Arabidopsis thaliana: one gene and its partners. The protein of the gene in region 2 purifies or fractionates together with the protein of the main gene of each other region. This does not show direct contact. Each region holds a gene or a part of one and is shown on either strand. Other genes may lie near its edges.

The links.
Region 1: the proteins of NRPB11 (region 2) and AT3G23325 fractionate together in Arabidopsis thaliana (co-fractionation; one large-scale study listed by BioGRID). This does not show direct contact.
Region 3: the proteins of NRPB11 (region 2) and AT4G14342 fractionate together in Arabidopsis thaliana (co-fractionation; one large-scale study listed by BioGRID). This does not show direct contact.
Region 4: the proteins of NRPB11 (region 2) and AT1G61700 fractionate together in Arabidopsis thaliana (co-fractionation; one large-scale study listed by BioGRID). This does not show direct contact.

The regions. Positions count from the first base shown.
Region 1 is NC_003074.8:8,341,574-8,349,357, forward strand, and holds AT3G23325 (Splicing factor 3B subunit 5/RDS3 complex subunit 10), read left to right. Parts: upstream 1-4,196; 5' UTR 4,197-4,234; coding exon 4,235-4,240; intron 4,241-4,424; coding exon 4,425-4,510; intron 4,511-4,594; coding exon 4,595-4,718; intron 4,719-4,793; exon of another isoform or gene 4,794-5,083; intron 5,084-5,235; coding exon 5,236-5,283; 3' UTR 5,284-5,569; downstream 5,570-7,784. Other genes in the region: AT3G23310 (AGC (cAMP-dependent, cGMP-dependent and protein kinase C) kinase family protein), read left to right, coding at 1-97, 250-329, 425-509, 661-792, 882-995, 1,109-1,156, 1,292-1,376, 1,468-1,524 and 1 more; AT3G23320 (Polynucleotidyl transferase, ribonuclease H-like superfamily protein), read left to right, coding at 3,056-3,631; AT3G23330 (Tetratricopeptide repeat (TPR)-like superfamily protein), read left to right, coding at 5,627-7,774.
Region 2 is NC_003074.8:19,315,440-19,323,366, reverse strand, and holds NRPB11 (DNA-directed RNA polymerase, RBP11-like protein), read left to right. Parts: upstream 1-4,243; 5' UTR 4,244-4,368; coding exon 4,369-4,421; intron 4,422-4,502; coding exon 4,503-4,592; intron 4,593-4,681; coding exon 4,682-4,760; intron 4,761-4,866; coding exon 4,867-4,956; intron 4,957-5,044; coding exon 5,045-5,140; intron 5,141-5,265; coding exon 5,266-5,298; 3' UTR 5,299-5,518; downstream 5,519-7,927. Other genes in the region: AT3G52105 (DIS3-exonuclease-like protein), read right to left, coding at 1-66, 147-197; AT3G52100 (RING/FYVE/PHD-type zinc finger family protein), read right to left, coding at 594-741, 824-1,313, 1,445-1,823, 1,949-2,027, 2,134-2,216, 2,428-2,506, 2,590-2,678, 2,759-2,851 and 5 more; chx28 (cation/hydrogen exchanger 28), read right to left, coding at 5,632-6,255, 6,329-6,934, 7,028-7,927.
Region 3 is NC_003075.7:8,250,804-8,259,318, forward strand, and holds AT4G14342 (Splicing factor 3B subunit 5/RDS3 complex subunit 10), read right to left. Parts: upstream 4,802-8,515; 5' UTR 4,603-4,801; coding exon 4,597-4,602; intron 4,368-4,596; coding exon 4,282-4,367; intron 4,194-4,281; coding exon 3,980-4,193; 3' UTR 3,697-3,979; intron 3,034-3,696; coding exon of another isoform or gene 2,986-3,033; 3' UTR 2,733-2,985; downstream 1-2,732. Other genes in the region: CKI1 (casein kinase I), read right to left, coding at 56-204, 295-364, 631-671, 772-865; AT4G14350 (AGC (cAMP-dependent, cGMP-dependent and protein kinase C) kinase family protein), read right to left, coding at 5,646-5,758, 5,853-5,909, 6,019-6,103, 6,594-6,641, 6,813-6,926, 7,022-7,153, 7,311-7,395, 7,482-7,561 and 3 more.
Region 4 is NC_003070.9:22,785,246-22,790,796, reverse strand, and holds AT1G61700 (RNA polymerases N / 8 kDa subunit), read right to left. Parts: upstream 3,786-5,551; 5' UTR 3,693-3,785; coding exon 3,657-3,692; intron 3,537-3,656; coding exon 3,478-3,536; intron 2,897-3,477; coding exon 2,802-2,896; intron 2,711-2,801; coding exon 2,685-2,710; 3' UTR 2,417-2,684; downstream 1-2,416. Other genes in the region: AT1G61710 (Cysteine/Histidine-rich C1 domain family protein), read left to right, coding at 221-681, 903-1,285, 1,574-1,938; AT1G61690 (phosphoinositide binding protein), read left to right, coding at 4,015-4,128, 4,484-4,652, 4,740-5,551.

The DNA of each region.
Region 1 (7,784 bases), about 11 Mb from region 2:
TGGGGCTCTACAAAGTGATGGCCGCCCTGTGGCACCGAGACGTACCCGCTCTCAAATGGAACAATTACAAAACTGGCAGAGAAATAGAAGGATGCTTGTGAGTTTATCGTTCTTTTCTTGTTCTGAGATTTCTACTTGCCAGATTGAACAAATCATCATTACTTTATTCATCTTATGGAAGTTTTTCTCACTGATATATAAGTTTTCTGTTCAAATACAGCTTATTAAGTGAAATGCTATCAATTGCAGGCTTATTCTACAGTTGGAACTCCTGACTATATTGCTCCAGAAGTTTTGTTGAAGAAAGGATATGGCATGGAATGTGATTGGTAGGTGCAGCAAATCTGTTGGGTCTTGTTCTGTTTTGTTTCTTCAACTCAAAATACATTGTTGTCGATAATTTTTTCGGGTTTTCTTCCTATAGGTGGTCACTTGGTGCGATCATGTATGAAATGCTTGTGGGGTTTCCACCATTTTATTCAGACGAGCCAATGACAACTTGTAGAAAGGTACCAATCCTCACTTTTTGTGGACTTTAACTCTGTTCTAGACTTCTAGTAATCTCAAATTTTTGCATTCGATTTAGTTCTTGATCTTCTAATGATACCTCTTTGGTAATATATGCACATCTCTGAATACTTGTTATTGTTTTTAATGCAGATAGTAAATTGGAAAAATTATTTAAAATTCCCTGATGAGGTTAGGCTATCACCAGAAGCCAAGGATCTAATTTGTAGACTTTTATGCAACGTAGAACAAAGGATTGGAACAAAAGGAGCAAATGAAATTAAGGTACTTTGTGCTTTATAATTCGAAGTTCCCGTGTCTAAAGACTATCGATAAATGCTTAAATAAACGCTTTCTGCTGGTATTTTTTGTAGGAACACCCTTGGTTCAGTGGTGTCGAATGGGAAAAGTTGTATCAGATGAAGGCTGCTTTTATTCCCCAAGTTAATGACGAGCTGGACACCCAAAATTTCGAAAAATTCGAAGAGGTAAAAACTAAAAGTGTTCGGATCAGAAAAACCGTTTGAAATGATAAGGCAACGGTCCAATGATGCGTATGCAGCTGTTGATATAGAAACTAATATAAATTCTTCTGTAACAGACTGATAAGCAAGTTCCGAAGACGCCAAAATCAGGTCCATGGAGAAAGGTACAAAATATTCTTGCTTTCATGTCTTTCTATGAAATGAAAACTTAGCTTGAAGTCATGCATATGAACTAATACTATGTGTTGTCATTAGCATTCTTAACATAAGAGTGTCTTTGTGTTTTGTTTTCTCTCCAGATGCTCTCATCCAAAGACATAAACTTTGTGGGTTATACTTACAAGAACGTTGAAATCGTAAACCATGATCAATTACCAGGGATAGGTAGATCTCACTTACACAACAAATTTGACTTGTAAGTAAACATATTCCATGTTTGCTCTGTTGTAATTTGTGATTGTGTTTACTGTTGCAGCTGAGCTGAAGAAGAAGAGCACAAAGCCAAAGCGGCCATCAATTAAATCCCTCTTTGGTACTTATCTAAAAGACATTTATCACAATCTATTTCAACTCATTGTCTGATATTAGCATATGGTTTTAGCACTAACAAGAATTGTTATAAAAACATTTGGCAGAGGATGAATCAGCCAGTAGCACCACAAGCCACCAAGGAAGCTTTATGAAACTCTTGCCAACACAAATCGAAGTTCCAGAGAAAGAAGACAAATCAAGCTCATCTAGTGAAACCCTATCATCTTCCACCACACGTTTCGACAATGCCACATCCTAAACCAGACTCTTTGCTACACTTTGGTCCCGGTTAACACACCAAAACACGGTTTGAGGTGGCGGATTTACGGTTGGAGATAGTACAGTTTCCATTGTGGCGGTGAAGGCTATTGTGTGAGAAGATTAAGGATTTGTTCAACAGTTTCTACATAGGATAATATTTGGTTGTTCAAAAGGTTTAGTTTGAAGCAAAAGGAAGTAAATAGTCATTTTCAGAATGTGGTTTTATTTATTTGTTTGATTGTTTTGTTTGGGTAAAAATCAAATTTGGTTTGTTTACCACACAGTTCTAAAGCGGACAATGGGAAAAATGTCAAAAAAATCATGAACTTTCAAATTTGGGACGAAAAAAACATGAACTTCCAAAATGCCATTAAAATCGTAAACTTTTGTTTGACTTTTGATAAATAGTCAAGTTTTGTTGACTTTGCCATTTTGAACATGTCGTTAAGTTTTCGTTAACAAAAAGATAACGTGATTAATTTTCTGTTAATTTTTTCTGTTAAAAGCGAAACGACGTCGTTTTGAAATTAAAGAAAAAAACAAAAAACAAACACCAAGTAGAGTTGAACTGGTGACCTTTTAGGTGCTATTGAAGGACTAAAACCATTGAGCCACGTTAACTTTTTAGAAGTATAGTAAACATATACATATATATATATATATACGTAACTAATTAAAAATAACCAACTAAAATAAATCAATAATATAGAAAATTACCTAAAATTTACACAATCCTTCTCATATGAATATAGGATTAATCTATACATGCACATAGAATTTCATTCAACTTCACTTTATATATAATTTTATTTATAATAAAACATATATTTTATAAATTAATTTGATAAATATTTAATAAAAGAAAAATATAAGATCATTATTCCGTCTTCAAATCAATTTTTTTATTCATAATTAGATGGAAAGTATATAAAAAGTTATTTTTTGGTAATATATTTATAGGTGTTATATTTCACAAGTTTGATTTTTATATAATTTAAGAGAATTTTTTTTTAATTCAATACGTTTAATAAAAAAATTTACATTGTTATTTGAGAATATATATTAATGGTAGGTGTATTTAATATTTTTACATGTTTAGTTATTGTTTTTATAGTTCGGTTTTTATTTGGTAGGTGCATTTTTATAATTTACATCATTTTTAATATTTTTATTTGCCATTTTGGTTAATATGGAGGATTTGGAAGAGCCGGAATGATTTAGTCTTCAACAAAAAAGCAATCGCTGTCGCTGATGTGATAAACCAAGCGATAATGGACACGAAAGAATGGCTGGATGTTAAGCATAAAAATGATGACAACGTCAAAGGGGGCCAAACCAAGTCCTCAAGAACGGACAAATGGCAAAAACCAGGAGCAGAATGGGTCAAATGCAATTATGATGTCTCTAACCATGCGGGAAGACAAGACTCAGGCCTCAGATGGATTATTCGAAACTCACAAGGAACCTGTTTGGACTGCGGCTGCGGGAAATTTCAGGGTCGACAAACAATAAAGGAAGCTGAATGCACTGCCCTCATATGGGCAATACAATGCGCTTGGGATTTGGGATATAGGAGAGTAGAATTTGAAGGCGACAACATCACAGTTAATCGCCTTATTCGAAACAAAGAAACTAATCCACGACTTCGATACTATTTGGAATTCATTCAACAATGGAGCAAAGCTTTCACCACTGTGAAGTTCACATTTCGACACCGGGAACAAAACGTTTGTGTTGATGTTCTGGCGAAAAAAGCAGTAGCTAATCATATAAATCATACTCTATATCATTTTTGTCCTAGATTTCTAATGTCGTTTGTAAACAAAGATGCTGAACACGTGAATTAATAAAGTTATTGGAAGGAAAAAAAAAAAAAATAGTTCGGTTTTTAATTAGTTTTGCGTATATATATATATATCAGTTTTCATTAATATCGAAATGTTATCATAGCATATTGGTTGAGCGCTTGTGATAATTTAGGAGGTTCACGAGTTCAATCCATTCTTGGCGCAAATTTTAATATATTTTTATTTTGAAACGACGTCGTTTCGCTTCTAACGGAAAATGTTAACGAAAAGTTAACTCCGTTATTTTGTTGTTAACGGAAATTTAACGACATGCCCAAAATAGTAAAGTCAACGAAACTTAATCATTTTATCAAAAGTCAGACGAAATTTTATAATTTTAGCGGCATTTCGGAAGTTCACGTTTTTTTTATCCCAAATTTAAAAGTTAATGATTTGGTTTGATTGAAATGTCCGGTTCTGGTTTGGTTTTCTTTTGTACCGGTTCTCATAATAATAGCCACGTATTAAAAATTTATTAGTAATGGATTTGGGCCAGACCCATTCTCAAAGCCCAATCAATTTCTCAGTGAAACATATATAAACCTAATTAAAGTGAAGCAGAAGTTGTATTCTTCTTCTTGCGAACTCGCTGAAGTCTGAAAGATGCAGGTTTGTCTCTCTCGATTCGAAACCCTAGTTACTTTTTTTTGTTCTTATCTCTAATTTTATACAATTTCTTGACGATTAAGCTAAGCGTAGCTGAAATCTGGGAACAATTTGCTTTAGTTCTTGTAAAGGTTAGGTTTTTAAGCAGCAGATAGTTATGTAATCTCACTTTTTTGTTTTTGTGCAGGCAAGTGATAGGTTTAACATAAATTCTCAGCTTGAGCATCTTCAAGCTAAGTATGTTGGTACAGGTCATGCAGATTTGAGCAGATTGTAAGTATTTTTCACTTTTTGTTTGGATTTTTCAGGATTCCAAAATTGTGAACTTATTGAAAATTTTGAATGTTTTTGTGTTAGTGAATGGACTGTGAACATTCAGCGTGATAGTTATGCTTCATACATTGGTCACTACCCGATGCTTTCTTACTTTGCAATAGCTGAGAACGAATCTATTGGTCGAGAACGTTACAACTTCATGCAGGTTTGTTTACTATCTTTCTTCTTGCATCATGTCAAGGAATCATATTGAGAATGTTAATGTGTTAGTGTCTTAAGGGAGAGGAACAATTAGGGTTGTTTCAAACAGGGTAAAGTGTTCCTGCTGCTCCCCTCTTTAGCTTGGAGAAGCCAGTAAATATCTTTCTCTTCAAGGAACTTGTGGGCCTCAAGAAAACCTGCTATAATTCTAGTTTTTCAACATTCCTCCTTCTGATATCAGCAACAACTCCTTACCCTTAAGAATGGAGAATGGAACTTCCTCAAAGATATTTACTTGGCCTCTGCAACCGGAAAGGGGAGCAGCATGAAACTCTTTTAACCCTTACCCTGTATTTGTCAAAAACAGATTGTATCATATCGTAAGTTAGCAGGAAACTACCAATCTTGAGGGTTGTTTCAAACTGTTATCTTCTGGTTCTTCTACACTCAAGAGTCAATGACTTTGCATTTTTGCTAATAGCTTTTACTAACTCCAAACTTCTTTGATTTTTTTTTTGCAGAAAATGCTCTTACCTTGCGGCCTTCCTCCAGAAAGAGAAGACGAGTAAGAGCTTGTGTGCATTTGAAATTAAAAAAAACATTCTACTTCTTAGAAGCTTGTGTGCAATCTTCTTTAACTGCTCCACCAATGTAATTGCCGAAAAGGCTTCTTCTTGTTTCTAGTTCATAATGCAGTTGTTGATCATGATCTAAACATTTGTACTTTGTTATAGTCTTGATACAATTGTCAAACTCAAAGTCTTTTTGCTACTCGAACAACTATTGCAAAAGAATTGAATTGAACAAGTCATAAAAAAAAGAGGTTAAAAGTTGGAGTATTTAAATGAATGACGAAAATAAAAATCAAACCTTTATGTTTGCTAATGGTGAATCTCTGAGAAGGAGACAAAGATGAGTTCATCAAAAGCCCTAATCAAAACCCTGATTAAGAATCCAACTCGAATCAAATCCAAATCTCAAGCGAAGCAGCTTCACGCACAATTCATCAGAACTCAATCACTCTCTCATACATCAGCTTCAATCGTAATCTCAATCTACACAAACCTTAAACTTTTGCACGAAGCTTTGCTTCTTTTCAAAACCCTTAAGTCTCCTCCTGTTCTAGCATGGAAGTCAGTAATCAGATGCTTCACCGACCAGTCTCTATTCTCCAAGGCGTTAGCTTCGTTTGTGGAAATGCGAGCTTCTGGGAGATGCCCAGATCACAATGTGTTTCCTTCTGTTTTGAAATCGTGTACGATGATGATGGATTTGAGATTTGGTGAGTCTGTTCATGGGTTTATTGTTAGGCTTGGTATGGATTGTGATTTGTATACTGGTAATGCGCTTATGAATATGTATGCTAAGCTTCTTGGTATGGGTTCTAAGATTAGTGTAGGTAATGTGTTCGATGAAATGCCTCAAAGAACGTCCAATTCTGGAGACGAAGATGTAAAGGCTGAAACTTGCATTATGCCTTTTGGAATAGACAGTGTGAGGAGGGTTTTTGAAGTGATGCCTAGAAAGGATGTTGTGTCGTATAATACTATCATTGCAGGGTATGCACAGAGTGGAATGTATGAAGATGCTTTGAGAATGGTTAGGGAGATGGGAACTACTGACTTAAAGCCTGATTCTTTTACTTTGTCTAGTGTGCTTCCGATATTTTCTGAGTATGTGGATGTTATTAAGGGGAAAGAGATTCATGGGTATGTGATTAGGAAAGGGATTGATAGTGATGTATATATTGGGAGTAGTTTGGTTGATATGTATGCGAAAAGTGCTCGGATTGAAGACTCTGAAAGAGTGTTTTCTCGCTTGTATTGTCGGGATGGTATCTCGTGGAACTCGCTTGTAGCTGGGTATGTACAGAATGGTAGATACAATGAGGCTCTGAGATTGTTCAGGCAAATGGTGACCGCAAAGGTTAAGCCAGGGGCTGTGGCGTTCTCAAGTGTGATTCCTGCTTGTGCTCACCTAGCCACCTTGCACCTTGGGAAACAACTTCACGGATATGTATTAAGGGGTGGCTTTGGCAGTAACATATTCATAGCTAGTGCACTTGTTGATATGTACTCGAAATGTGGGAATATTAAGGCTGCTAGGAAGATTTTTGACAGGATGAATGTACTCGATGAAGTATCATGGACGGCTATTATAATGGGGCATGCGTTACATGGTCATGGGCATGAAGCAGTTTCGTTGTTTGAGGAGATGAAACGACAAGGAGTGAAACCGAATCAAGTGGCATTTGTTGCTGTACTAACGGCTTGTAGTCATGTGGGGTTGGTAGATGAGGCATGGGGATATTTCAACAGCATGACTAAGGTTTACGGTTTAAACCAGGAGTTAGAACATTATGCAGCTGTAGCGGATCTTCTAGGCCGTGCAGGGAAGCTGGAAGAAGCATACAATTTCATTTCAAAGATGTGTGTTGAACCAACTGGTAGTGTCTGGTCTACCTTATTGTCTTCTTGCAGCGTTCACAAGAATCTTGAGTTGGCTGAGAAGGTAGCGGAGAAGATATTCACTGTCGATTCTGAAAACATGGGAGCTTATGTTTTGATGTGCAATATGTATGCGTCTAATGGAAGATGGAAAGAAATGGCGAAACTAAGATTGCGTATGAGGAAGAAAGGATTGCGGAAAAAGCCAGCTTGTAGTTGGATCGAAATGAAAAACAAGACTCATGGATTTGTTTCAGGAGATAGATCGCATCCGAGTATGGACAAGATCAACGAGTTTCTTAAAGCTGTAATGGAACAGATGGAGAAAGAAGGGTATGTTGCAGACACAAGCGGCGTGCTTCACGATGTAGACGAAGAGCATAAGAGAGAGCTTTTGTTCGGACACAGTGAGAGATTGGCTGTTGCCTTTGGTATCATCAACACAGAACCTGGCACGACAATTAGAGTCACTAAGAATATAAGGATATGCACGGATTGTCATGTCGCAATCAAGTTTATCTCGAAGATCACGGAAAGAGAGATTATCGTTAGGGATAATAGCAGATTCCACCATTTCAACCGTGGAAACTGTTCTTGTGGAGATTATTGGTAATAATGAAGTG
Region 2 (7,927 bases):
TTCAGGGGAAACGCAGATCGTGATTTTATTATTTTTTTGCTTTATTTGGGTTATTATTACAAGTACCTAACAAAAATTGAAATAACGTTAGATGATTCAATAAGTGAAGAAGAGATAAGAAGATTGGTTTCATTATCACGTGTTACCCTTAATTCCACAACTCCCAAACTCAATTTTAACTTTATGTTATCACTCATATGATTCCCTACCATTTCTAGCATCTACTGCTATATTTGTAGACCGACACTTTTAATTCCCTAGTTCCGTATTCATTTCTCATCCAAATAATGTTTTTTTGTGTAAAATTTTTTGGTAATTCTTATCCGCAGAAGGGTCCTACGTTATGTCTGTTGACGCGTGGCAATTACATCATGTGTTGTTGTTGGGTTGACTTTACAAGTCTTGAGTCATCAAATGCTTGTTTGAATTCATTCTTCTCAAATCTTTTACAATTTAAACCTCTTGTTTCCCTAAGCAGGTACCTCTTCTCGTGAAGCTAATCAAGCTACATACATATTCTAGATGTATAGAAGATAAAGAAGAAGAAGAAGCTCATGTTGTTTCTAAATGTGGATACTCAAGAATAGATAGCCTCACGTTCTCGTTCTCTTTTGTTTCTGAGGAACAAATCGAACCCCTTGCTTCCCGAGCTCGACCGTCTTCACTTTTCCATTCTCTAGCGTCACCATCAACTTCGAGGTGCCTCCAGCTCCTCCTACTTCACTTACAACTCCTTTCTCCCTGTTTTTTTGGTTCCTCATTTGTTAGAGACTTGGAATAATTAAAGAAGTTCAATAGCAAAAAACAATATAATCTCATATACCATGAATCATCCGAGGCCTCGTGTATTTGAACTTTTTTTCCTTTCGCATCTTTCCCCAACTTCTTCAGAATCCAACTAGCGTCAAGCATTTCGTCTAACAAACTGTCTTCTCGTGACAGCGATACATCTTCATCTTCATTGAACGCTGACTTCTCAGCTGGAGGTGATGCTCTTTTCCTCTTTGACCTATGTCCTTTACCAGATTTACTTCTTTCATATACAATGCTAGGGGCTTCACTTTCTTGGCCCTCGGGATTATGTTTTTTTATTTTCAATTTCAACAATCGCCTTGAATCTTTCTGCGATGAATCATGCGAGCCACTATTTAAATCTCCTTTACCATCTGAGTGTCTCCCTATGAATCCGCCCTCAGCCTTTAAAGTAGTTACTTCACCTCGAGACCCTCTCTTTTCGTCACTATTCTTTCCCAGCAAGCTGCGACGCTCTTCCCGGGAAAACGTTTCCTCTGCTTGCAATTTTTCTTGCTTTCCTGTAATTACCAAAGCTCTTTATAAGTATGTCTATGTATACCAATTTTAAAGAAAGAACAAACCGAAAATAATCAGAGTGTATCTTTCTCATATAAGTTTACTGAACATGCAAAAATGACACTACACATACCATTTGATTTGGAGGCAGTCTTTGATACATCGCAGCTCGTAGAGTTTGTAACCCCTGTCTTTCGAGGACCTATACTTATCACCAACTTTTTCGCCTTCACAGTGCTCAGCTCTGTAGCGTGTTTTCCAAATTTCTCACTATCTGAATCTTGAGGCCTGCTACTTTTTATCCTGAGAACTCTCAATGGCTTCTCTTCTTCACCATTGACCATAGCCTTTTCAGAAACTTTTCTTTCCACAGAGCCAGGCTGATTCATAAGAGGGGCACCACCAGTTTGCCCAACAACCCGAGCACTAGCTTTCAAGCTAGCAATTAGATCTTTATCAGCCATATCTTTTCGCTTCCAAATTTCTTGTACAGCATCTTCAAGATCCTTGACCTGGCATCATAAACACAAATCAGAAAAGAGAAAATGGGATAACCAAATTGTCATTCACAGCAATCAACTAGAACCTGGGACAAATATGAGATAGCAAAAAAGACTTAAGGACCCATGAAACACACCTGGTAGGATTCCCCACGACAAGTAGAACATTTGTATTGAAGATTCCCATCCACTTGAAACTGCATATATTTCTCATCGCTGCGATGGTAGCTTACAAAGTTAGCGTTATTTTAAAGTATTTGGATACACACTTGGGAGACATGCTTACAGGACACAGAAGTACAATTTCATTAACGATATGTACCTAATTCCATCACACTGGCAATGAACCCAGCGCTGGCAAAAGTCACAACACACCATTGGCGTTGCTTCCGAGTCCCTGTAAACCTACGTGATGAAATCAAAATAATTTGTCAATTCAAAGAATGTAAGAAAATTCTGCAAATAACTGCTTTTGCAATACAGATGTCTGGATAGTATAGGGTAACAACTCCAAAATACATAACTCTATTAATTATGGCCAAGAATATCTAAATATGATGCTTGGAAACAGAGCGCACGTTTTCCTATCACCGAGGAGGAGAATATGTAAATATACCTTCAAACATACAGGACAATAATTCCCCTTAACAAACAACCTTCCACAAGCATCACAACAAGTATGCCCCAAAAACCACCTGCAAAGTTTAGAAGGAATAATAAGAGATAGTGCACTTTACATGAATAAATTTCAAGTATCACAAGGCAAAAAGTTAAATACCGTAAGCTCTGGCCATTCCCAGGGACTGTAGACTCACAACTGTAACATTTGGTGTGCTTAGGACACAAATAGGGTCCAGAACTAACATTCTGTAATATTCAGAGATTAAAATAAACCAATTTGCAAAAGATAAGATAAGAACCTTATACAGACGCAATAAATACTATACCTTGTGCCGAGGATGTTGGCAATCACAATGATATGCATCATCACATCTTTTGCAGAACATAAACTTTTTTGGATCCCCTAAAGTCCCGCAGCCCTAAAGGAAAAATGATCAAAAGAATACAAATAATCAAGCAGCAGTCATACCTAGCCCAGCATGTAAAGAGCAAGAATAATCATTGAGCACAAAGTTGTGTCCGAACATACCTCACAGATTCGGCAAGATGGGCACGCCCAAGAGCTCCAATTAAAAAGATCTGCTAGCAAAAACCGGTATAAGAATCTAGGCAGAAAGACTCATAAGTCATAAACAATAGATTCCTATGAAACAATACCTCTATGTTGGGCCCAAGACTTCACGCAGTTTCTATGATACTTCTTCCCACAACATTTGCAAGAAAGCATCTTGGCTCTCTCACTCTTCCCAACTTCAACCAAATAGCACATGTGACATGTTATGCTTGCACTGTGATGATCATGATCTTCTTCATTGAGGTCTTTGACTGAAACCTACATAGAGAAAGACATAACATTGAATTAGTGTCTTGACGAGAATAGACTTCATAATCATCCAAAAAATCACAAGTAGTTTACATATAAATCATAGATTACAGAACCCGAAAAGACAGGACAACACCAAAACACATACACGAGATACAGATAATCAACATCACTGAAAACACGTTTTCTCACAAAGACAGATTCCTATAAACAAGTTCAATTCAATTGACATAGCAGTAACCCCTAACCACAAAAACAAGTTTCGCAAGTAAGAATTCGAACCTCTAAGTCGCCAGAACAATCATTCGCAGCATAAACTTCCACAGCCTTCTTCTGCAACACCAAGGTGCGTTTAGCTGGTACCAAATTCGATGATGCAGCAACAACCTCCATCGCCGAATCACTCCCAACACCAACATTTCTAGCCGCAATGCGAGGACCAGTATCGAAAACAGCAAGCTTAGGCACATGGATCTGAACGGTACCGTCCTTGGAAACCTCAGCATCCCAGGGGTTTCGCACGAACTCCTGAAGAGAATGGATCTCTTTGAGATACACATCCTTGACTTCATTACCATGAAGATTCCGAGAAAACCCCAAAACGCAGAAGCAAATTTTCCGGCTGCGGAGAAAGAACGAAAGAAAGAAGAAAACCCCCAAATTAGAACAATTCGATTAGTAAAAACAAACAAGCCAACGAGTAAAGGAGGCGCCAAAAGAAAGAAAAAAAAACATACCATGTAATTGGACAAGCTACGTGAAAGGCCATAGTCGGTTTTCAAGTTTTACGCTTTCGGGTTCGATTTTTAGGGATCTGACTTCTTTTCTTTTTTTCCTGAATTTTTTGTTAGGTTTCTGAATTAAATCACTCGTCCTTTATTGTGTAAATAATATAAACCTAGAGGTCCTTAAACGGAAATATTATGTTTTATCGGCCCGATCCGACCCAAACTGTATACACCAATAATAATATAACACGTGGAGATTCGATCTTTTTTCTTTTATGAAAAACGACGTCGTATTATATTTTGTTTGCCAGAAAGAAACTGAAGAACTCTTGACTGTCTCTCTGCGGCGAAAAAGAGAGCGAAGCTTGAAATCTCCGATTAAGCCATGAATGCTCCCGAACGATATGAGCGATTCGTCGTCCCTGAAGGCACCAAGAAGTAATTGAAGTTTCTATCACTCGAAATCATACTCGATAGTCCTCTTACATGTGCTAAACCCTCTCGATTTCTATGTTCTAGGGTTTCTTATGATAGGGATACGAAGATCATCAATGCTGCTTCCTTCACGGTTGAGAGAGAAGACCATACGATTGGAAACATTGTCCGCATGTACGTCTTTTTGTTGATTTTGCAACTCTTTTCTCAGAAAGAAGAAAGCCCTAATTTTTGTCAGCTCTGTTCTGAAATTTTTGTTTTAGGCAACTTCATCGCGACGAGAATGTCTTGTTTGCTGGATACCAACTTCCTCATCCTCTTAAGTACAAAATCATAGTGAGGGTAAGTTCCAAGTTTTTCAGTTGCTTCTACTGTAGAGCCTGTTGCTTTGAATTGGAAAGAACAATGCTATCCTCTGCGTTTTTTTCAGTTCATTGATTGACCTTAGGATCCAAAAGATTGGTTTAGGAACTTAAAAGTAGTGTATGGTTGTTTGGAAACCGTGAATATTTCTTGGTTTAAGCTTCTAGTGTTAACAGTTTCCTCTGGGATTACTGGTTGCTTAAGGACTTATAGAAAGATCTTGTATGTTGTTGTTTAATTGTGAAAGTGGTTTCTGTATGTAGATTCACACAACAAGCCAGTCTTCCCCAATGCAAGCATACAACCAGGCCATCAATGACTTGGACAAGGAGCTCGACTACTTGAAGAACCAGTTTGAGGTACATAAGTTTCTCTCTTCGGATATACTTATCTGATTATGTGGTTAATAAGCTAGACGAATATCAAATGCTATTGATGTTGTTTGATGTACCTGGTCTTATGGTATACCCTTCTGTGTTTTCAGGCAGAGGTGGCCAAGTTTTCGAATCAGTTTTAAGGAACTTGGAGTTCTCCATCAGCACATCGGGGAAAACGTTTTACATTGTCTTTTGCTAAGCACCAATCAAGACTAATAATGAGCTTGGGAAATTTTCCCTAGTTATGCTTTGTATAAATCAAAAACAAATCGGCCTGTAACTTCTTTTAACTCTATGTTTCAACACCATTTCAGGATGCTATGAAGTAATGCTTAGATTACCTCTTCTTTTTACCATTCTATCTACATAAACCGCTTAATGTTTGAACTATTGTACAAAGTCTCTTTAAGAGTTGTGATGGTGAAGCTACTACTCTTCCCAAGCTACTAAGTAAAGTGCATTTGTACAGATATTCACAGTATAGTGAAGTCATCATGAAGCCCTTCTAGCTGACCCCGAGTACGCTGCTGCTGAATAATTAACATTGATGTGTTGTGTGAGAAATCTGATCCTGAAAGAACGTCACCTATGGGACCAAGCTCTGGACATTGCTGCCAGTCGTTGAGGCCGGTGGTTAACCCACTGCTCGCTCTTCCCCCTCCTCTTCCTACAATCACCAGCCCATACTCTCCATCTAGTGATTTAAGAGCTGTGAAAGTCTCAGAGGAGTTGGTGAGATGCTTCTCCATGTAAGACACTCTTCCACCTCCAGCTATGTATCTTTCGTAGAACTCAGCAAAACATTCATCATCAAGCTTCATTTCCTCCTCTTGATCTACCACACTCGCTCTGTTCAGGATGCTGCTTCGTTTTTGTGCGTTTTGAGAGCTCTTGTCTTCCAAGAAACGTATAACCTTTAATTTCACAGCAGGATGTCGAGCCACTTGTGCAGCGAAGGCTAGTGCCTCTCGGTCGTCTCTGCCACCTATGAATATTATAGCAATGCCCATGGACGCTCCTGGTCTCCATGCCTCTTCTGTTTGCCCGAACGACCTATCCACAAGAATTCCTACTGAACATGGTGCGTTCTTCAGAATCTGCACACACAAATGCCAAATTATCTCTCTGAGAACTGAAAGAAACAGAGTATTACTGAGATGGAACAATTACCTTGCGGTTCACATGACGGAACCCAGCATGACCAGCATCGAGAGTACCATCAGGATTCAGCCGTTTATGGAACGGTAGAATTATAATGGAAACCATAAGTTCATCAGCCAAACCGCAGACGTCATGGGCCATGGTCACAAACGTGGACAACGCCAGCATCCGCCGCACTGTCACACCTTGTCCATTGCGGAGCTCTCCGTACCCATTCACAGCTGCCGTTATACTCTCTCTCATTTCCGTCACCGACCTATCCGTTACCGTCACTGAATCATTACTCTGACCGGCTCCTCCGCCCTTCTTCAGCGTGGCTGCAATCTCATCAGTCAACTCCACCATGTCAGTCGCATAGAATATGGAACCCGGCTCACGGCCACCATGGCAGATCTCCATAACGTTGAGCGTAGAACCAATGTTGTGGGGACCGTGGAGACCAATCAAGATCCGAAGTTCAGTTGTTGGATCGAGCCATTGAAGCGCCATGATGTGCACAGGCACCCGCTTTCTAGCGCGTTTGATGATGTCCATGACCACGAATGGGGAGTAGACCACCGTGAAGACAATGATAAATATGATCAATGCACCGGTCGTACTTTTCACCCTGTTAGTCTGCATTTGCATCAAACGAAAAAGAAAGAGAGTAAAGATCTTACTTTGATGATAGCTTAAATAACAAAACATAAAGAGAAAGCTTGATGGTACCCGAATGGCTAAAGCTGCCAAGTAGACATGAAAATGGCCTTTAGTGGTCAAAAGCAGTCCTAAGGATGCGGTTTCCGGGACATGATAACCGAGTAGTAAACCACACAAGACTGTTCCGGTGACTTTTCCGGCTATAACAGTGCCAAGAAGAGAAAAGAATCTTACCCACGCCATTTTGTCAGTAATGTCAAAGTTTCTCATGTGGATTATGAATCCAACCCAGAAGAAGAAGATAGGGTAGAAGACCGTGCTGAGCAAGTAATTGATTTTGTTGATGATCCATTTCGACATTCTTCCTTTGTTTGGAAGGAAGAGACCAGCCGTGAATGCACTGAGAATTGGGTTGTACATTGATTCAGGTGGCCAAGTTGGGAAACTGCAGATCAAGACGACAAATGCCAGGGACATAACAAGGTGTGACCCCTTGAGTGGTTTACCTTCAGGGTTCTCGTTGTTGACCCAATTAAGAAAGATTGGGGATACAATGGAAGTGAAAGTGACCTGAGCGAGGAAGAGGCAAAACATGAGGAGGGCTCTGAAGAATCTGTGGAGAGGACGAGCGAGAGGTTTCTCCGTAGGGAAGAAAATGAAGCCGAAGCAGTAAAGCAAGGTAGAGATCATGTCCGTATGGACACCTGCGGCTGATGCAAGTTTTCCAAGATCGGATTTTCTGATTTTGAGATTGGCGATGACGCGGGTTAGGATAGGAGAACCGGTGCTTGAGGCCATGAGGGAGAGGGCGAGGGAGAAAATGTAAGGAGAAGTTTTGGTATAGTGGAGGAAAGGAGTTGTGACAAAGGCGAGAACAAAGGTCGTGATCATGCTTGTGTAGGCAATGAATGCATCTTTGGTTGGTGGTCTGAGAAGAACGCTTGGATTCATCTCTAGACCCATGACAAA
Region 3 (8,515 bases), on a different chromosome or scaffold from region 2:
TCAACGACCAACCTAACATCTTAAAGAAAGGGCATACTCATTACTCAGTACTTACCAATTGATCTGCAAGCATTAAAACAGATTTTAATGAAAATATTCGCTTGCAGTAATTGAATAAGTCCTCCAAGCTTGGCCCAAGAAGATCGATAACCATGCAACTGTATTCACCCTCAACTCCAAACCATTTCAGATGGGGAACACCCGCTATTTAACAGAAAGAAAATATATCAAGGTATCAGAGGCTTGGAACTAAAACTTCATATAAACTAGCAGAGAAAGACAAACCAAACTCACTTCCTCCTTGAAGAAACATATATATTTTCGATTCATACTGCAGTTGAGGATGCCTCGTCTTCACAGGTTCCTAGTGTCAAAAAAAGAACCATTATTAGACCACAAAGACAGAAATGGAGCTTGCATAATTAACACCATTTCTTTCCATAACAGAGCAGCAACCATCAGGAATAAGAAGAGAACAAGCTGCAAATTACACTTCTATTCCCAATCAAAACTAGTCTCACTTAAAACAAGCTGCAAATAACATTGATTCATTATCCAAAATTGAAACCTTCCTCAGCACAAAATCTATAAAATTTGAATGAAATAACTTAAACAAATTCGTAGTATTACCAGCTTAACTGCGACTTCTTCTCCAGTTTGAATATTGATCCCTAAATCATACACACATAGATTACACTTCAACAACAACTAAACAAACCCAATGCAAGAACTAGTAAACACTCTCAAGATGTGAATAGATTGATTTGATACCTAAATAAAGTTCACCGAATGATCCACTTCCAAGCTTCCTACCCAACTTAAACTTCCCGCCGATAACGTGATCCATCTTTTGATTCCGATCCATCTTTTTCCGAATTCCGATGATAATCCGATTCACCAGTAAAACCCGATTCTCATATACTTAATACGGTTCCAATCAAAACCCTAGTCGCTAAATCAGAAACTGGGTCCAAAGCAAACACAGTGATTGAAGGAAGCTGATTTAGTGGTGAAAGTTGAGGACTTTCGCAAGAAAAGAGAAAGAAAGTTGTTTTCTTTTACTTGGAGAAAGAAGAAGAATCTCTGGGGGGACAAAGAATTAGAAGAATCGGATCTGAGTTTGAGGGAAGATTTTGCGGAGATTTGCGGAAGAAAAGAGAAAGAGAAAGAAGAAGAAGGGAATAATAAAGAAATGAATATGTGAAAATTGAATTTAACCTAAAGAAAGACAAAACTTCAACGTAAATATTTATCATTCATTGAATCTTTTTATTTTATTTTTGTATACTGTTTTTTTTTTAATTACTTAGAAGAAAAAATTAGTTGTTTTCGTGCACGGTTTAACATTTAAATTCTCTGTTTTCTAACGACCAAAACTCTAATTCGTAATAACCATAAACATCACTTAATCAACAACAACACGAAACAAGTTTGCAAAACTTTATAATATATTTTTATTAAAAACAGAATCTACCACCAAAAAAAAAAGTTCTACATTTGTCATTTTTCAAGCTGAAATTTTCATTTTACGTTTATATATTTTGATACATTATTGGGGATAGAGTATAATCTCATTAAGATTATCACTATATATCTTGTGATAGAGTTATGTCCTATATTTTAGGGATTAGAGTATATCTCATAAGATGTCTCTCTTGTATAAATACTATACTTTGTGAATCAATAAAATCAAGTTAGTGCAATACCTAAGTCTACATACATCACCCAATTTACATTGATTTATTTAAGTTTTTTTTTACTCATTTACTAATCGTACCAATATGTTGATGAACATTTTTGGATTTAAACTGTCAACAAATCGTGTACTAGCGCAATATTATCATATTATCACTTTGTTCTATCTTATGATCTCTCGCTTGGACAGATTCTGGAAGTGCATGTAAAGGACCTGATTTTATAAAAGTTCAAACAATTTAAAAAAGAAAGCATCCATTTACTTGTGGATCTCCCGAACGCTTGGTAACGTCGATACATGGAACACTTGTTGATGAGTCTTGAGAAATCAAGCTCATACTTAATAACCAGTTTACATGTCGTTAGTAGATCTTCTCGATGAACTCATGAACACAGTGTGAAATTCATGAGTTTCTTCTATATGGTAATTTAGTAGGATAGCTAATGTTCTTCTATGCTATATTAAGCATTTTGTTTTTACTTTCATTTTCAATATGAAAATTAACATGTGTCTCTAAAGGTAAACGTGTTAGGACCATTCATCTTGAGTCAAGTGATATTTCACATGCATGGGAAACAAAACTTATTGATAATTGTATACAATGACTAAAGTTTTATAATGTTTATGAAACTTTCGGATTGTATACAATGACTAAAGTTTTATAATGTTTATGAAACTTTCGGTATTGTTAAAGTATTATGATGGTCAATGAAACTAGGCAAAAATAAGTCAAAGAGAATAAGAAAAATTATCCATAAGTAAGCAAGCTTATAATAGATGCGTATGATTATATCAACTATAGTGTTTATAGGCTTCCATCGTTGACGATATTACATTATTTATAGTTTAGATTTTAGAATACGTTTGATGAAATGGCTTTTGGTTTAAGTGGCCTAAGCTTTTTGCTTTTATTTGTCCATTTGTCACACCCGTTGTTTTCTTGTCGTTTGGACATCCCACGGTAAGAATTTATGTCGGGAACTTTTAACAAATCAAACTAGGCATGCAATAACGGTTATGTCGGATTATTCGGGTTTTTGGATAGTTCAAAAATTGAAAATTTTGATGAATTTGATTAAAACACGAAACCGTGTAAAACCAACCTAAAAATCCAAGGTGTTTTGTTTTTTACATTCAAGAAAAGCAAACTTACACAGACAAAGTTGTTTTTTAACAGTCATATAAATCTCTACCAGAAGATCAAATTGGACAGTTTTTAAAACTCCAAACCAACATTCCATCACACGAGTTCTTGATAACTTGAAAGACAAATCGAATCCTCATGTCACCTATTCCTCTTCTCTTTCCGGAGGAAGGCCGCAGGGTAATAGCATTTTCTGGAAATCAAAAGACATCTCAAGTTATTCCAAAACATCATCACATCTACAAAGTGTAACCAATTTTTTGAGCAAAGAACACCCCACAAATATTCATATTTTTCTATGCTTTTCGATTAACCCTCAAGAAGACCATATATTCAGATATAAGAGATCGCTATCACAAGATTATTCAACCATGTAAGAGACCTGTTTCATGAAAAAACTGAAAGCCAAGGCGAGCTCACAACTGTTTGTGAAAGGAACTAAGCTTCCATTAATTTGAGAATTGAGGACAAATGAAAACATTTGAGTGAGAGACCACACCATAACCTAATGCTCTATAATCTAATTGTAACCTACACAACTGGAGGCTGCTGAATGGTCAGTGAAATGTGAAGTCCATAGTCTAGGAAATCAACATATCACGACAAATAGAGAAATACGCCATTGACAAGACCTAAACTAAAACCATACAACAAATCAATGAATCTGAAAAGGAAAAGGAATGAGATATACCACAAGATAACCACGAAATGATACATTCCTAATCGACTACACATAGAATCATAATCCAAACCTTGAACTGTAGATTTGTCACTAGATAAAGGATGAGGCAAAAGGAAAGTACAGAATTTTACTGATAAGATTCCTATTAACACAGAGAATAGGAAGCAAACCTACATGAAATTCTAACCTATCACACATTTCAACCATGCAAGAGGCGAATAAACCGAAACCAACCGAGTTGAGTAAGACCATGACCCAACGCTCTCTAATATAATTGTATCCTACAGAACTAGAGGCTGCTGAAATAGTCAGTCAAAACTGAAGTCCATGGTCTAAGAAATCAAAATATCACGACGAATAGACAAATACGACATTTAACAGTAAACTAAAAACCATACAACAAAGCAATAAATCTGGAAGGCAACATAAGTTACATAACCATATGATACGCACCTAATCAAATAAACATAGAATCATAATCCAAATCTTGAACTGTAGATTTGTCACTAGAGAAAGTAATATGCAAAAGACATGAAAGGAGGCAAACCTGCATGAAATTGTAGCGTTCTCGTCCAATAGACTCGTTCTCAGCAATAGCAAAGTATGAAAGCATAGGGTAGTGACCAATGTATGAAGCATAACTATCACGCTGAATGTTCACAGCCCACTCACTGTACCATTTAAACCAATTCCACAAATTAGTAGCCAATAAAAACAATGCATATAAAAATTTGAACACTAAAATCAAAAGAAACTCACAATCTACTCAAATCAGCATGACCGGTTCCAACATATTTAGCTTGAAGATGCTCAAGCTGAGAATTGATGTTAAACCTATCACTTGCCTGCAAAAGAAAAAAACCCAAACCAAAAGATGTTAAATTTAAAGCAAATTGTTCCCGATTTCATCTATATATGCTTTATAAGAAACAAATCGACCTAATTTCGTCTAAGCCAATTCTCTTCGACATAGATAAATTAAACAGACAGAGAATCAAAGGTAGAAGAAGCTAATTAGGTTATTTCTTCTTCCAATTTACCAACAAAAGCTAGGGTTTCGGATCGAGAACATACCTGCATCTTTTTCAGAGTTTCGCAGCAACTAGAAGAAGAAGAAGAAGAAGAAGAAGAAGAAGAAGAAGAAGAAGAAGATCTAAACCCTATCTTTCTTCAAGTCCTTTATCTGCTAATTGTTTTCGGTTAATATTTAAATCCGAAATAACCGACCGGTTCGTTCGGTGTACCCGAAGTAGTAGATCATAAAATGAAAACGTGGTCGTTTCACATAATAAAGAAGTTAAGGCAAGAAGCTTGGAATTTGGCTAACAATTGTGGATTCTTTAATCATTATCAATCTACAGAATACAAACAAAAGTGGCTGTAGTTTAGTGGTTAGAATCCCACGTTGTGGCCGTGGGGACCTGGGCTCGAATCCCAGCAGCCACACTTAGTCTTTTTTCTTTTTTATACTATTTTGACATTTGAAGAAGGTCTCTTAAGGGCCTACGAATACTCATAGAGGTACATTTGTTCTCTACTTCTTTTGTATGCACTTTTTAGTCTTCAGTCTTCACACGCAATTGGTTCCAAAGGCCTACATATAGTGTAGACTGTAGACTTTTAGCACCAAATCTGAGGTGCCATTAAGCCATCTGTTTCACTCTTGAGTGTACTCAATTAAACACATTCAGTGAGAACAGTTTTTCAGATTGGCGCTTTTTCTAATCTAATAAATAGTAAATACTTTTGCTTATAGCATTAGAGGGTGAAGATTTCATCTTGAGGTTTAGTAGTACAACCAAGTTTTGATTAACCAAAAAAAAAAAAATCAAATACCAAAGCTCACCTTCTCTCCCTGTGAAAATAAATAAACAAGCCAATTCCGAAAAGAATATTTACTTTTTCACTTTTCTATGTTGAAAACAATTAAACAAATCCATCTTTCTCCTCTGGGAGAGCCTTCGCTTCCACTGGAGAGACTGTACTTTGTTGAAAAACCCCTGCTAACTCCAACTTTTAACAGTCGTTTAGAGAAAGCAAAAGGCTTTCAACGAAATCAACAACACACATGTTAATATAACAAGAGTCTTCTGGTTCAGGCTGTGCAATGTGTCAAATGAAATTCACCCGGATGAGCTCGACTTACTACCTTCTTTCTCTGGATCTTCAATCTGCGTCGGTAGTAGATTCAAAAAGCTTCCTTGGTGGGTTGTTGTCCCACCAGATGTTTCGTCTTCTGTTAATTTAGTTTCCACAGTTTGGTTAGAGAGAATCAAACATGGATCGTAATCATCTTGATTTTACAAATAGCATACAAACAGATGATTTACCAAAGAGAGATTTAATAGACGGCCTTTTTGGCTTATTGCTCTTCTTCTTCAACTCAGCTGCACAATAAAACAAATTACAAATGCAGCAAACATGCGATGATAATCACAAGGTAATCTAGTATTGTTGCTTCTTCCTCAGCAACGGAAGGGGGGTTAAGTGAATTACCTATCCCTGGTATTTGGTCATCATTTACGATTTCTACGTTCTTGTAAGTATAACCAACAAAGTTAATGTCTTTGGATGAGAGCATCTGGAGAAGAAAAAAAGAAAGCCAGCGTCATGTTATGAAATTCACAAGAATCCTTTTGGTTCATGACATAAATTCTATTGACAGAACAGGTTCTAAGTTATATCATGTTGGTCCAAAAAGATAAGTGATTCATCTAACACACGTCAACATGCAGAACTGGCAGATTAACAACATAATTCTGTTAGTAGCATCCCAATCAGCTCCAAATTCTAAATTACCATAAGAAAATTTGAACCTAAAAGAGTGAATCACGTTTTTGTGAATATAGTACAAAGATAGAAACGCCTGTGACAGAAACTGAGCCAATTTCATCATTCTGAGCTCTTTGTTGCATGTAATATTTTAAGCTACGTCTGTAGTATCATCAAAGAACAACATATCTCAAGGAACCCACTTATAGATAAATTTTGAAGTATGATCACTCTTCTATTAGATAAAAAAAAAAAGCTTGATGGTACATAATGCCAAAAAGTCAGTGCTTATGCTGTACCTTTCTCCATGGACCTGACTTGGCTGACTTTGGAACTTGCTTGTCAGTCTGTTCCAGAAGGAATCAAAGAAGAGTATACATTATTTTCCTTATCAGGAGCATAAAAATCATCTGTGATACCAATATTTCAGTATATACATCATGCCACATCATTTGGTGGCATATATTGCACCAATATTTCACTATAGACATCATTAGCTGATAGTATCAGTGTGTTACCTCTTCAAATTTCTCAAAATTTTGGGTGTCCAACTCATCATTAACTTGGGGAATAAAGGCAGCTTTCATTTGATACAATTTTCCCCATTCTGTGCCTCTAAACCAAGGGTGACCCTGAAAGAAACCAGTCAAATCGTTTTTAAGAATTGCACACAATGATCTTACATAAGGGAACTTTGAATCTCAAAGTTGAACAACGCATACAACACCTTAATTTCATCTGCTCCTTTTGTTCCAAGCCTTTGTTCAACATTGCATAAAAGCCTACAAATAAGATCCTTGGCTTCTGGTGATAGTCTAACCTCATCTGGGAATTTCAAGTAATTTCTCCAATTTACTATCTGCATAAGGGGGAAGATAATGAATCGAGAAGAGGTAAGTTTCCACATTAGAATTACCAAAGAGATACAAAAAGACTAAAATTAAATGTAAGACTTGAAATCGCCAGTCTGCCTTCAATATTAAAATGAAAGATTCAAAAAGGAATGGATTAATTACCTTCCTACAAGTTGTCATTGGGTCATCTGAATAAAAGGGCGGAAACCCCACAAGCATTTCATACATAATGGCGCCAAGAGACCACCTAAATCTCAAGATTATTCACCCATATTATTTATTTACACCAAAGAAATCAAAGACCACAAATAGGAATAGGTTGGCTTCACCTACCAATCACATTCCATTCCATATCCTTTTTTCAACAGAACTTCTGGGGCAATATAGTCAGGAGTGCCAACTGTGGAATAAGCCTGAAAGTAATGACCTTAACCTAGTAAGTCATATCTAACATAGATGTCTATATCAATGGAGAGAATTTGCTTTCAATAACGAAATATACTGGATACTGTGGACTACTCCACATCTCTGGAAGAAAAGATGAGGAATAAGTGAAACTTACAAGCATCCTTCTATTTCTCTGCCAGTTTAGTAATTGCTCTTGTTGGGTGCGTCTTGTCGCCACAGGGCGACCATCACTTTGTAAAGCCCCACTAACGTTTCTTGCAACTGTAAAGTCTTTCTCTTGAAGATTACTACAGTCTAATGGTTTACATAATCCAAAATCTGACAATTTCATGTGGCCGTCTTTGTCAAGTAGCAGATTATCAGGCTTGATATCTCTGTATCACATTGGAGAAAAAAAGACGTTTAGAACAAAATAACAATGGGAGCTAGAACTAAATCATATATTCTGCTTCACTGACCTGTGAATGTAGTTGTGCTTATGAATGGACTCAATAGCCAGGACAGTTTCCCCAATATAAAACCTGGCCTCGTCTTCAGTGAGGGTGTCTTTCCTCATAAGTAAAGTCATCATATCCCCACCAGGTAAATACTCCATTATGAGATACAAGTACTCTTCATCTTGGAAAGAACAATACAGTTTGACAATGCAATTGCTATCAACTTCTGCAAGTAAATTTCTCTCTGCTTTTACATGTTCCACCTGAAAATCAGATTCCACATTCACATCAACCAACTAAACAAATGTCAAACGAAAGCCACTTGAAGGAATTTAAATACCTGGCCTCTGCGAAGCATCTCAGATTTCTTAAGCTTCTTCATTGCATAGACATTGCCTGTTCCCTTCTCCCTACAGATCCTAACCTGCAAAGAGAAAGAGAAAAATTAGCATGCCATACTTTTTTGAAAAATTAGCTGTGGTAAAAAAAATGGCCTAAGAAGACCTTTCAAGAAGGATGCAT
Region 4 (5,551 bases), on a different chromosome or scaffold from region 2:
ATACAAAGAAAAGAACATAATTCAACTCATTTTCACGGTTAAGGATCCAATAATTAAACGTAGAAGGAGACCTTTGGTATCAGATTTTCTTATGTATAGTGGAAAACTCTCAAAACTAGTATTTTGCATTTATATAAAAAAAAAAGATCTTAACAGAAGTATAGTAAACAAAGACTAGGAGAAGCCATGGATTTCGGTGGATTTCATGAGGAGGAAAAGGATGGTAACCTATTTCTGGAATATCATCATCCCAAGTATCATCCCAAACCAAAAACACATAGCCTATCTCCATCCGGTGAAGCAGTCAGCGATGACCATCTTCTTCAACCTCTTTTTTTATGCCCAAGTGCACGAAAATTTAAAGATAGAACTGGGAATATTTTCCCGCTCAATTCTTCCCCCGAGTTCGTCTTCTCTACAAGAAGTGCTACATATCATTCAGTACTCCCGTTGTTTTGGTGCAACAATAAAGAATTCGATATTGATGGTGGATGCAATATATGCCGTCACTCAAATTTTGGCACTGACTATTATTTTTGTGACATTTGCACGAAAAAGTATCACAAAGAATGCGTCGAGTCTCCACTTAAAATCAAACACCCTTATCACCCTCAGCATTCGCTCCAACTTTACTTTCACTTCCTTCTTTACAGTATTAATTGTTTATGCTGTAGAAGAAGAGTAAACTTCCTGGTATATTATTGTACCATATGTAACGTTTTCATGCATCCAGTATGTGCAGTGAAGCCAATACCCTTTGTTATAGACCCACCAAAAAGGCATGCCGACCATCCTCTCACTTTTTTTCCTAGACAAACTTCTTTAACTTGCAACTTTTGTGGTTTGGTGAGAAAACTATATCCCACCTACATATGTGTCAGATGCAACTTTGTGTTTCATAGTGATTGTATGTACTCTCCAAGCGTCATCAAGATATCACGTCACAACCATCGTATCTCCTACACTTTTTCTCTACGATCATGTGAATGGTCTTGTGGAGTTTTTCATCAAATTATTGACGGTGATTATGGTGCATATACTTGTGATAAGTGTGGTCATTATGCTGTTCATTCGAGATGTGCTCTAGAGAAAAATGTGTGGGATGGAAAAGATCTCGAAGGTTTACCAGACAAAGATGATATTACACAAGATGTTGGATCATTCAATATAATATCTAAGGAAGTGATACTTCATTTTCTCCATGACCATCATTTCCGGCTCGAAGTCAGTATACTTTATAACGAAAAAAAACTTTGTCAAGCGTGTTATTTACCTATTTTCGAAGGTAATTTCTATTCTTGTGTGGAGTGTGATGATTTCATCTTCCATGAAACATGTGCAAAATTTTGCAGGATATTACAACATGCATTACATCCTCATCCACTAACATTAAAAGCTGCAAGTAGATATGGTATGGATCGTTTTGGATGCAGTTCTTGTAATCGTGGTTGTCGTGGCTTTGTCTATGAGTGTTGCATAAGGGGATGTATCTTCACTCTAGATGTAAAATGTGCTTCAATTGCTGAGCCGTTTTGTTTCCAAGGTCATAAACATCCATTGTTCATATTTGTAGGCCGAGACGGAAAACTCATATGTCGCGTATGCAAAACAGAACGTCATAATCAATTAAATTGCATCAAATGTGATTTTATTGTTTGTATGAAGTGTGCTACATTACCCTATAGAGCAAGGTATGAACATGACAAACACTTTCTCACAGCTATATGGGAAGAAGAGGTCCGTGAAAAAGATTGGTGCGAAGTATGTGAACGTAATTTAAGAGACACAAACACAAAAGTGTTCTATTGGTGCGTTGAGTGCTGCACCATTTTCCATATTGAATGCGTACTAGGTAAAAACTCGAATTTGAGTCTAAGCCAAACTCTCAAATTCTGGGTTCAGCGGGCTCAAATTCTTTTAGAAAATCTTAATCTGTAATAGACTAATAGACAATATTTCCAAGCATTCAGTGAGTTATATAGCTCTACCTCTCTATTCAAATGTAATTTGTTTTCTTCATATTTGTCTCCTTGGTTTGTGTTTGAAAAAAAATAAAATAAAAAAAGTCTCCTTGGTTTGTTAAGTTCAGTATATTGTTCAATAAACATATTTCAGAATAAATTTTTATAATAAAAATATATCTTAATAAACATTTGATCCAAAATAAATATATATTCAACTAATTATAGTGTATATTTAATATAAATATTTATATTTCTTTTGTTAAATGGTTTCCTTGAATTAATACAACCACTTGTAACTAAAAAACTTTGATATTCTCCGGTTATAAAATGGGAGCTCCATTCAAATTGTTTTTATGTGCTCTGTTCTCATTACCAATTTGATATCGTACAAAAAGAGCTGCTTCCTACTCGTGATCTAGATTGTAGATTTGAACCTTATCAAATGTGTGATCTTTACTATTTATCAGGATTAGATTACCAAAAACAAATCAATAGATGATGACTCTACAGGCTTGAGCTTTATTTTTGGCTCGAAAAATTGTCTAGATTTCTAAAACCGAACAAGAACATCAGAAAACATTGAAATATCAACATTCCTAGTTATAAATTAAACCAAAATTTCTGAAACATTGTGGTTTTATTAAGACGCCCACATGGATGAGATGCATCACTCCTTCACTTCAGCTCTTGATGATTTGTTATTCATTATAGCATCTTTTTTTAATTGGGGTCGGATTTCTCCATAGCTGCAAAAGAGAAGTATTCGAATAAGCAAGTTAACAAAAAGAATAGAGCAGAGGCAACACAAGGCAAAAGAACCGGGTATGGAGATATTACTGTTGTAGTTTAGAAGCTTTTCGATTAGATCGACATGAGTCATAAGCATACGCCTGCAGCAGTAACGGACTAATCCAAGCGCGTCAAGAGCATCCCTGCGTATTCCAAAACCAAAATTCAGATTTTCAGTTCAACAAAATGCAATTTTAGCATAATGCCTAAAACCAAAGTAGCTAAAAGATTAGATAGAAACAAGAGAATGGAATATATCAGTGATCACCTACCATCATGCTCTTTACTAACACTTAAGATAACATCTATGAACTTCAAGATGATCAAATTGCAACTAAAACAAAAACGAAATTGCGCAATTCCAAATCATGTAGCTTAACACCTAGAACCAAACGGGCTAAAGATTACACTAGCGATTAAAACAAGAAAATCGAAAAATCCCAATGATCTAACTTCATGCTTTTAGTAACAAGGCTAAAACATGTATAAACTTTCAAGATGATCATACAAGACAAGATCATGCAATCTCTTTGACTACACAAAACCATCAAATCATTCTATTGTCATGTTCCACTATTGTTTCATCTTTTACATGACTCTCATTTCAACTAAGAAAATGTCAGAAAACGTTCAAAATTCCAAGATTCAATCACTCTCATGTTCACCAAAAAAATTTCTCACAAATTATGATTCTTTTTCTAATCATAAACTATATATCGCTTACCCTTCAGCGTAATCAGCCTGGAGAAGTTCAAGGTATGTGTCCCATTTGTTCCCAATCACCTACAAAAAATCATAAACAAAAGCTTCATAAATCTCAATACTACAAACCCTAGAGATTTGTCACACACATATATATATAACAAATCGAAATCGTACAAAAAGAGAGAAGAAAAAACAAACCTTTCCACAAGTAAAACAACGAACAGGGACGATCATCGTGAACGAATCGAAACTTTAAGAGTTTATCGTCTCAAAGCGATCTTTAGGGCTTGTCTCTTTCTAACTTCGTTCTCGTCTCAAAGCAAAAATTAGTTTCATGTCTAATTATTATTGCTTTATATATTGAGTCCTATTATGTGTTTTAGCTAAAACGATACCGTATTAGTTAAAATTATTTATTTTATATCTGACAATAGAGGAGGAAAAGTATTCTTCTTCTTCTTCTTCTTCATCTGCTCGATCTTTTACATTTCCGGTAAGATCAAAATCAAAACCAAGTTCGTTTCGCGGCGGAGGAGAAGAAGAATCAGACGGGAAAATGTTGGAGAAGATCGGATTACCGCCGAAGCCATCTCTAAGAGGAAATAGTTGGGTCGTTGATGCTTCTCATTGTCAAGGATGTTCTTCTCAATTCACTTTCATCAATCGCAAGGTCTTCCTCTCTCTTAATTTCCTTACTCTCTCTATCAATTGGTACTTGCTTATTGCTATCGCGATCTTTAGATTCTTAGTTTCTTCGATCGAAATTTAGTTTCGTCTTAGTCGATTCTTCTTCGAGATCTAATTCAGAATCTGTTTATCGGAAAACTTCACTGAATGATCGGTTTCTGGTGATGTGCCTATTTGATAGATTCCATATTTTTGAGTAAATTTGGTGAATCTGGATGTTTTGTGGTTTGTGTATTACTAGACTTGTGACTTGCTGGATTCTTCTATGTCTCCCAAAAACCTTTGAATTTGCTTAATTTTTCTTAGTTTCTGTTGGCTTTGTTTTTTTGAGCGAGCAGCATCATTGCCGGAGATGTGGGGGATTGTTCTGTGGAACCTGCACTCAGCAAAGGTTGTCACTACGTGGACAAGGTGACTCACCTGTGCGTATATGTGAACCATGTAAGAAAATTGAAGAAGCTGCACGGTTTGAGTTGCGTCATGGTTACAAAAATAGAGCTGCTAAAGGTATTTATGTACCTATAGTGATCTTATTTATGACACTTTTGTGTTATCTGCTAGTTTTTGATGTAAAGAGATTGTGAATTTGTTCAGGAGGTAGCTCGAAAAGGACTGTAAAGAATGAGGATGATGTTCTCAGTGAGATTCTAGGCTCTGATGTTGATGTATCTTCTTCATCTGAATCTGTGTCTAGCACAGACAGGAATGCTTCTAAAGAAATGGCAAGTAGCAGTAGTAATAAAGGTATGGAGTTGGATGCTAGTCCTGAAGAATTGCGTAAACAAGCAGTAGAAGCGAAGAATAAGTACAGAATTCTTAAAGGAGAAGGGAAATCTGATGAAGCTCTAAAAGCATTTAAGAGAGGGAGGGAACTTGAGAGAGAGGCCGACGCATTAGAGATATCTTTAAGAAGGAACCGGAAAAGGGAACTGTCTATGCGAAATGTTGCTGAGACGCAGAACAAGGCTGCTACCAAAGAATCTAGCAAATCACAAAAGCCTCTACGTCAAGGGGGTAAAGGAAATGATGATTTGGCAGCTGACCTGAGGGAGCTTGGGTGGTCTGACGATGAAGATAAGAAACCAGCAACTATAAGTTTGGAGGGCGAATTTTCGTCTCTTCTCCGTGAAATTCCGCGAAGTGCTAATCCTCAGAAGACTGGGGGTATTGACAAGAGTCAGGTAATTGCCCTTAAGAGAAAAGCCCTTACGCTGAAACGTGAAGGGAAGCTTGCGGAAGCTAAAGATGAACTGAAAAAGGCTAAAATTTTGGAAAGGGAACTGGAAGAGCAGGAACTTTTGGGTGGAGCTGATGGATCAGATGATGAGCTATCTGCACTTATTAATAGTATGGATGATGACAAAGAAGATGATCTGTTAGCTCAATACGAGGGAAGCCATGATTTC